Linked DNA regions of Mus musculus. The protein of the gene in region 2 interacts with the protein of the main gene of each other region in a biochemical or structural test. Links are inferred from orthologs where the notes say so. Each region holds a gene or a part of one and is shown on either strand. Other genes may lie near its edges. The genes, in order: S100a6 and Cacybp.

Region 1 (3,774 bases), on a different chromosome or scaffold from region 2:
CTCAGTTCCAGTATACTGATCTTACAGAGAGTGGTGATGTCTGGATCCTTTACCAGCTTGGCCTTACAGTGCAAGCAGGATAAGTCTAGGACTTAGCTCAGGATGATGCTCAGGGCCACATAGCCAGACCTCAAGCTGTTTTCAGTAGGAATTGGTATGAATTACAGATTATTATTTCTTTGGATGGGAAGATGTCCCAGGAGCAAAGGCTAGACTAAGCCTTCCTACTGTAATTCATTTGGAATATGGTCCTGTGGTAAAGGTGTGGGCTGGGGCTGGGCTGCTGAGTAGTCTCCTCCTCTTGGGCCCTTGTAGAAGATGAAGGAGAGCAGCATTGATAACTTGATGAAGAGCCTGGACAAAAACAGCGACCAGGAGATTGACTTCAAGGAGTACTCTGTGTTCCTGACCACGCTGTGCATGGCCTACAATGACTTCTTCCTAGAGGACAACAAATGACCAGGACACTGGCAGCTCCTGATCCTGACCTCTGCAGCCTCTTTAACTGCCCCTCCTATGGCCCCTGCCCTTCTCTTTCTCCCAGATGGATCCTTCCAGCAGAGAAATAAAGCCTTATCCATTACACGCACTGGTTTTAAGGTGGTTTGTGTCTTGGCTGAGGCAGGGGAGAACAGACATTTTGGACCACTAAGCCTTGGGCCACACACAGGTGGTCTGTGGATAGCAGGAGCTGGGCTCTCATCCCTCTTCACTGGCAGTCCTTCATCATGGACATTGTTGGAGGTGTCCTGACTTTGTTCTGCACTCCTGTAAAATAACAAAGCTGCCCAGACAGCAAAGATGCAGAGAAAACAAGAGAAAAGGCCGTGAGAGCTAGGAGGCCAGAGGGATGGGCTGTGGCCCAGCAGTGATGGTCCCGCAGGTCTGACTTGGGGATAGCCCGCAGGAGACCACCCCAGGAGCCCTTCTCCTCTCCCTTCCAGGAACACCCCTCCCATTACTCACTGAAGAGTGACTTCAGGATGCTAATCCCTCCCCACACCCTACCAACTTCCTCTTCTCAAGACTCCTCCCCATTACCCCCCCCCACCCCAGGAGAAAATGTTCAAAACTTTTCACTTGAGATGAGTAACTGAGAATGCTCGCTGGGCTTGGCTCTACTATGTGCACATTCATGCATAAGCTGCTCTAAGGATGAAAATCCAGGCAGTGAGTGGGAGGAGGCGAGTGATGTTGCTAGAAATTTATGGTTGGTGGGGGATGCTGTTTAAAATCTTTTAGACTGTGTTCTTTCCCCATGCCCCCTTTGATACAAGGCTCAAAATTCTACCTTTTGGGATCAACGTCTTTAGCTATATATCAAGATTTAGACCAGTGGTTCTCAACCTGTGGGTTGAGACCCCTTTCACAGGAATTGCCTAAGACCATCTGAAAACACAGATATACACATTAAGATTCATAACAGTAGCAAAATTATAGCTATGAAGTAGAAACGAGAATAACTTTATGATTGGGGGACCACCACAACTTGAAGAACAGTATTAAAGGGCCGCAGCATTAGTCAGGTTGAGTGAGAACCATTTCTTAGAGGATGTGGTAGACAGACTGCTTCCCCTCCCTCACTTGGGGACCTTGCCACTAGAGGGCAACAGCATCAGTGTGGTTCCCAGTCCCCCTCACACTGATGCTAACTTTAAGGACACTGCTCTCGGGCTGGCAGAAGGTTCAGCACACAAGCCAGAGTTTCGAGTCACGTGCCAGAAGGGAAAACTAAACACGGAATTAGAGAAAACTTGATGCCTCTGGCTTGCACTGGTCTCCTTTGGGCCCGTTAGGGCCCGCTAAACTCCCTCATTCCGCTCCTAATCCTGGACAGTCCAGGCAACAGGGGCGTGGAAAGTTGAGGGGGCTGGGATGTTCGTTTGCCTTGCCTCAGGCGCTGGGTGGGGTCGGGGCGTGCCAGCACTCCCTGGGCGGACCTCACGGATGCTGGCCACTATAAGGCCGGCCAGACTGCGACACATTCCATCCCCTCGACCACTCCTTTGGCGCTTCGCTGTCGACCGTGCGGTGAGCTCTCGCTGGGGGGTCCCTCTAGGGTCTTTCTGCTCCTGGGCAAGGGGTTAAGCCACTTCCTTCCCCCGTCAGCCTCTGCAGGCTCAGTGGGTGGAATGCATTGGGATCCAAGTTTTCGGAGCCCAGGGAGGCAGGGAGAGCCATGATTAGGTGGGTTGTATCAGGCAAACCCAGAGGCTAATGCATCCCTATGGGGCGGCAACCTGAGTCTGCTCTTCTGGGGTGCAGGAGGGTTTGCCCTGGGTGTGTCATCGTCCCAGTGTGTGGCTATGTCAGGAGGTGCCCAGGGGCACTCTCCATTCTCTTCCTTGCTCAGTCATATGCCCTAGTTCTCTTGGAAGCCCTGGAGGACAGTGCTCACAGATCCCAAAGCCCCTTCCATTCTTATATCCCTCACCTAAGTTGCCCCGGCTGCCACCTGTGTTGGCTTGAGACTGACTGCCTCAGGCAGGGGGGTGGTGAGAGAACTCTCTGCTATCAGCAGCACTGACTAGCCCCTCTGTCAAACAGCTTCTTCTAGCCCAGTGATCAGTCATGGCATGCCCTCTGGATCAGGCCATTGGCCTTCTCGTGGCCATCTTCCACAAGTACTCTGGCAAGGAAGGTGACAAGCACACCCTGAGCAAGAAGGAGCTGAAGGAGTTGATCCAGAAGGAGCTCACCATTGGCTCCGTGAGTAGCCCCTGTCCCGGTTCCCCCTCCTGCCTCTCATCTGAGTGGCATTTAATCACAGTTCCTGATCTTACTTCCTGTGGAGGGATGCTCGTATGCCTCCATGCTGCCCTGTCCCCTGAGGGAGGAGCAGGGGCTGAGGAGAGTAAATCAAGGTAAACCCAAGCTGAAGGCCCATCTTTGGTCCCAACGAGCACTTGTTTGAGAGAGGACTTCCAGGGAAGGGGTAAGGAATCTAGGGTGTTGGCCACCACTGAGTGTGGACTTCTCCTTCTTAATGTATTAGAAGCTGCAGGATGCTGAAATTGCAAGGCTGATGGATGATCTGGACCGTAACAAGGATCAGGAAGTAAACTTCCAGGAGTATGTCGCCTTCCTGGGGGCCTTGGCTTTGATCTACAATGAAGCTCTGAAATAAAATGGGACCGTTGAGATGACTTCCGGGGGCCTCTCTCGGTCAAATCCAGTGGTGGGTAGTTATACAATAAATATTTCGTTTTTGTTATGCCTACTCATGTGTTCTGGCTTCCCACTGATTTCCAGTTGCTTCCTGCCTTGCTGCTGGACCCACCATCCAGTGGTCTTAGTCACAGTTAAACTCTGGGAGTAGTAGCTCATTGGCCCACCAGGCCAGGTCTGCCAGCTGACCAGGAATCTTTATGGGTATTAGAAGAGGAGGCCCCTCTAGGCAAAGCCACTCTAAACAAAGGCTCAATCAAGTGACCTTCAGGAGAAAGTGGCCTTTAGAGGCAGGTCTGCAGTAGTCCCAGCAGTCTCCTGGCAGACACACTTTGGTCTGGGTGTGGTGAAACAGGGAGTACTAGGTGGGCCCTGACGTTGGGCAATCCACCTTTTCACTGTGTGTTTGTGTGTTATATGAGGGAGGCGTGGGGAGAGGCACATCTGAGGTGAGCAGGGAGGGACACAGGATGACTGAGTTTTCCGTAGCTGCCTGTGTTCCAGTTGGAGGTGGAGGAGACTGTAGGAGACGGTCCCTAGTGTCAGGTATGGGGTCCTTTTTGTTGAGCTAAGGAGCTGGCAGCTCCACGCACATGTGACTCACGA
Region 2 (4,432 bases):
AGATGACAATAGATATGCTAATGTGGACAAGGAAAGCCTAGGGTGTCACTACTCTACACAAGAACAGGCTCCAAAGAGAGGCTGAGGGCAGGAGAAAGTCTTCCCCAGAAGAGCCCAGTACCAAACGGTCAGCCCTGAGCTTACCTACTAGTAACATCACACAGACTATGTATGCAACAATGAAAAAAAAATGAGACAGAGAAACTATGAAATTGAAAGAGTGCAAATGGCAGGGATTGGAGGGAGGAAGAGGGAAATGATTTATTATATTTATATTTATTATAATTTCAAGAAATAAAAAATAATTTTAAAATATTTTAAATGCTAGATATTAGATAGTAAAAAAAAAAAAATAGCTCAAATAGCTCATTACTCTGTGGCCATTATATTATGATTTCCTAACAGTTTATAAAAAGCACAACAGTGAAACTCCGGTCTACAATCCCAAGGAAACTTGACTCTAAGATCCAAAACTGCAAAACTGTCACTCATCTTTTGAATTTAGAATCAAGATATTTCATTCAAAGTTTTTCAGTGGTTTCAAAATTCATATGGATTATCAAGTACCACTGTTGGTGAAAGTGGGTTGGTGGGACTTTACCACAGATTCTAAATATCAGCATAATAAAAAAAAATATTAAAAGCAAAGCAAGTACTTATTCCTAGGACAGAGCTTTACTTAACAAACGGAGAAAGGAAAAGGTTTTGCTTTAAACTGGAATGGGAATCTTTTTTTTGAGCTGACTCATGGCAGAATTCCCAGGCCCTCCCAGTTTTCGCTCTAATGGACTCTTTAGTAAGATACCAACTGATGCGACCTACAGGAGAACCATTGCTTGATTTTTGTATTCACAGCCCAGAAACCACTGACAGTGTAGGTTCTGACTGGGATTAGATAGAACAGTTTCCTGTCCACTTTTTCTTGCCTTCTTGGCATGCATTTGTTTTCTATACATAAACATTTATCTCCCTTTGAATCTGTTTCCCAGTTGTTAAATAGGGGCTCGGTCTGGCCTGGTGGCACATGCCTTTAGTTCTGCCACTCTGGAGGCAAGTGTATCTCAAAGACCAAGTGAGGGGTACTCAGTGAGACCTACTCCCACCCAACTGCTCAAAATGGAAGAACCCAACTCTCCTCCACAAAGACATGGAATTGGACACCAGGTACACACACAAATAGATGCACACAGCTATGAAGATGCATAGCCAATGCATGAGGTGGTACTACACCCTCATGTGGATGTTAGCATATGAACAAAAACCACCCAATAAAATAACAAATGTTAGTGAATGTGTGGAGAAATGGCACCTTTTGTGCAATTCTTGTGGAAACGGTAGCTTCCTAAGACTTTCCCTATTATTTGGCAATTACACGGACTAAAAACATGCCCACAAAACAAAACTTGTTTACAAGAAATCACAATCGGCAAGATGGAGAAACAGAAGAGTAGGAATTCCATCTGTACAATGGGACAGTATTCAACCACCCAAAGGAATGCCATACTGATACCACGACTGAACTAGAAAATCCTAAGGCTCCAGCCTAAGTAGATGGAGCACCTACAATGGATTTCTATTTAAGGAAACGAAAATAGTCTGCAACTAGGTAACACTGATGGTTGTACGACAGAAAAAGTTGAATTTCACATCTTAATATGATTGAATAAGGTGAATTTTAATCTCAGAAGAAAAACATGCCCCTATATGCATAGCTCCAAGTCTAAAGTCCCTTCTCTTTTGGAGACAATTAATGCTGCACAACTGTTAAGCCACCCTCTCCACTCTCCCAGTGAGCACGTGGTGCCTGCCTATCTTGTCGCAAGATACCCAGATGAATACTTTAACTTCCTAATTTTTATGTGTTTAAAGCCCATGATTTCTAAGTGAGGGAGAAGTTTCCGAAAAGCAAATCTTAACAGCCAATGTTTCTGTGAAAACAATATGTCAATCACATAAAACCTGTATTGGCCAAAACCCGGCAATTCAATTACTCTTGCTATGGAGACCTCGAGGATCCAAAAAGTCAAGTCATTCACATTCATTTTTTACAAATCTAAAAACACACGCCAGGCAATTTCCTAGTCGTACCTACTGCTCAATTCCCAGTAACTTTTTAAAAATTGCTTTTATACATAAAGACTGGGGGTATACCGGAACGGTAGAGAGCTTGCCTAGCGTGTGTAAGGCCTGCAGGTCCGCCACTGGCACTGCTAAATAAAAACTGAAACCATAAGCACTGTCCAGGGCGTTTAGAAATAATACAGAGAATGTATGTATAACCACCTATAAAATGAAAGCGGTGACCATGACTAGTCATGCGGGCATGGGAATTCCTTCCCATGGCCCCCGGCCCGGAGCTCAGAGCTTTGCAGGAAGGTTTCTGATCCCTGGCCAGGAACCGGGAGCCGAGAAGACCTCAGGCAATGGAGAGAGGGGACCGCCACCCGCGAGCCTACCACGAACCGCGCCAAAAATTGGGATCCAGACACACCCCCGACCTTCCAGCCGCGGCCGGGACACTCAGGCCCAGGCAGGCGGCGGCGTAGAGGCCGCGGGCCCGCGACGGGGGCAGAGCCGAGGACATCAGCCCCGGGAAAGCAGCCGCCGCCCGGCGGCGCGAGCCGGTGGGTCCAGGCCGACCCCTACCTCTTCCAAAACGGAAGCCATGCCGTCGCGCGTCAGACCCGAGGCCGGAGCTGCAGCGGTGCACCGAAGCAGACAGGAAAAGCCGAACACGCCACCCACGAGCGTCGCAGCGCCGGCAGCGAGCTCCACAGACCCGGCGCGACACGGCGGCCCGCCCTCCGCACGAGACGGCTCTGGAACCTTCGCAAGGCTCCACCGGAGCCTCCCAAGGCCCCGCCCCTCCGAGTCTAGTCCCGCCCCCAGGCTGGTTGCCTAGCAACGCTCAATTCTCGCGAGCGATCGAATGCTCAGGAGGCGTCCAGCCACTTCCTTCCGCCCCAGCGATTGAGACGTCGTTCCGCGCCGGCAGAACCGGGCTGCGCAGTCGCAGCTCGCAACCGCGGCCAGACCTAGCCCCGGAACTAACCTTCAAAGGTTTGGGGACCCGATAGGAAGTGTCTCGAGAAGGGCTGCTTCCGCTGGTGCGATGCGGAGTTGCCAGGCCGCCATCTTGTCTTCGGCAGCTCTGAGGTATCGGGAAAGAACAAAGGAGCGCCCCCAAAGAAGCACAACTACCATCAAAAAAGGACGGATTTGTTAAGGGAGGAAGGCTCCTAAGTAGAACAATGGCTTTAAGTGGGCCTTGGGTTTCTGGAGGCGTCCTGCGTCTAGCACCGTTGACGTGGCGCCATCTCGTGGGACTGTAGGAAGGTTGCACGGGCTTCCTGACTGGCTCTGGGCGCCGTGGTGGAAAGCGGCACGGTTTCAAGTGGCCGAACGCTCCATTCTCCCTTGCCTATATGAGCTCTTGATACGAAGTTTTCCACTGCCTTCGCTCTTTACTAGCGGTTTATTTTGTATTTTCAGCAGGGTTTGGATTGAGTGAATTTCCACGTAAAATGTGGAGGAATTCTTAGGACTTTGGGTTGCAGCAGCCCGGATTAGTAAACCCCCAGCGTAAAACCGTTTTTCAAATTATCTTAATTATGACAGCATAGAGACGTCCATAACACCCAGTAAACCGAGACAGAAAACAAACAGTACCCATTGGGAGGTAGAGCAATCTGCTGTCAGCTTACAGATGCTTAGGGGAGTTACTAGCATCAGCAAGTCAAGGAAAATGCTGCTACACTACACTTTATATTAATGTAACATTAAGGCATGCAACCTGTACGAACTTCTCACACAAACTTGCACAAAATGACAAGTTAGACAGGGATGTATGTCGTGTATAGTTGCAACTTAAATAAAAGTCTCAAACCACCAGTCCCATGGCCTATAGTGATAAAAATAAAAACAATCCTTTTCTGGAGTGGACAATGACAGAAAGGTGCCACCCTTTGAAGTTTATGAAAAGGTGAAATAAAAAGGAGGAGGACATGGCTACTTCTAAAGTATGGAGAAGATTTTTTTTATTATTTTTAATTTTTTTTTGTAGCTATAAGGAAGACAGGCAGAGGGAAGGGTCCAGGTCGAACATGACTGTTAGACTAAATACAACATAAGAGCAAGAGGGGCCTTGAACCTGTAAGAGTCCATGAATGGTCTAAGAATCATACCCTAGGCTCAAACAGTATGTAAACGCACAGAGTGTTTTATTCTGCAGAAGTCCAGCGGTGCTGGAGTCTCCCATTACCAGAAATAAAGAGTCAACCAAGTGAGCTTGAAGGCCTGATTTAATGCATGTTAGGAGATTCCATTTATTCCCTAGGGGATGACCTCTAACCCCATTTCTATCGACATTCCATTACTCGGGCATGGAGACTAAAAACTGTTGCTGAAGAAGTCTGGAAACTGGTGCCGACCC

Evidence for each region.
Region 1: the proteins of Cacybp (region 2) and S100a6 are reported together in a solved structure, tested with the Homo sapiens proteins (2 studies listed by BioGRID and IntAct, with this or other methods). The link is inferred for Mus musculus from reciprocal best matches to the Homo sapiens genes CACYBP and S100A6.

The regions. Positions count from the first base shown.
Region 1 is NC_000069.6:90,611,196-90,614,969, forward strand, and holds S100a6 (protein S100-A6), read left to right. Parts: upstream 1-1,698; 5' UTR 1,699-2,031; intron 2,032-2,547; 5' UTR 2,548-2,571; coding exon 2,572-2,709; intron 2,710-2,995; coding exon 2,996-3,127; 3' UTR 3,128-3,219; downstream 3,220-3,774. Other genes in the region: S100a5 (protein S100-A5), read left to right, coding at 316-459. UniProt on the Homo sapiens protein: May function as calcium sensor and modulator, contributing to cellular calcium signaling.
Region 2 is NC_000067.6:160,210,001-160,214,432, forward strand, and holds the start of Cacybp (calcyclin-binding protein), read right to left. Parts: upstream 2,893-4,432; 5' UTR 2,668-2,892; coding exon 2,647-2,667; intron 1-2,646. UniProt on the Homo sapiens protein: May be involved in calcium-dependent ubiquitination and subsequent proteasomal degradation of target proteins. Probably serves as a molecular bridge in ubiquitin E3 complexes. Participates in the ubiquitin-mediated degradation of beta-catenin (CTNNB1).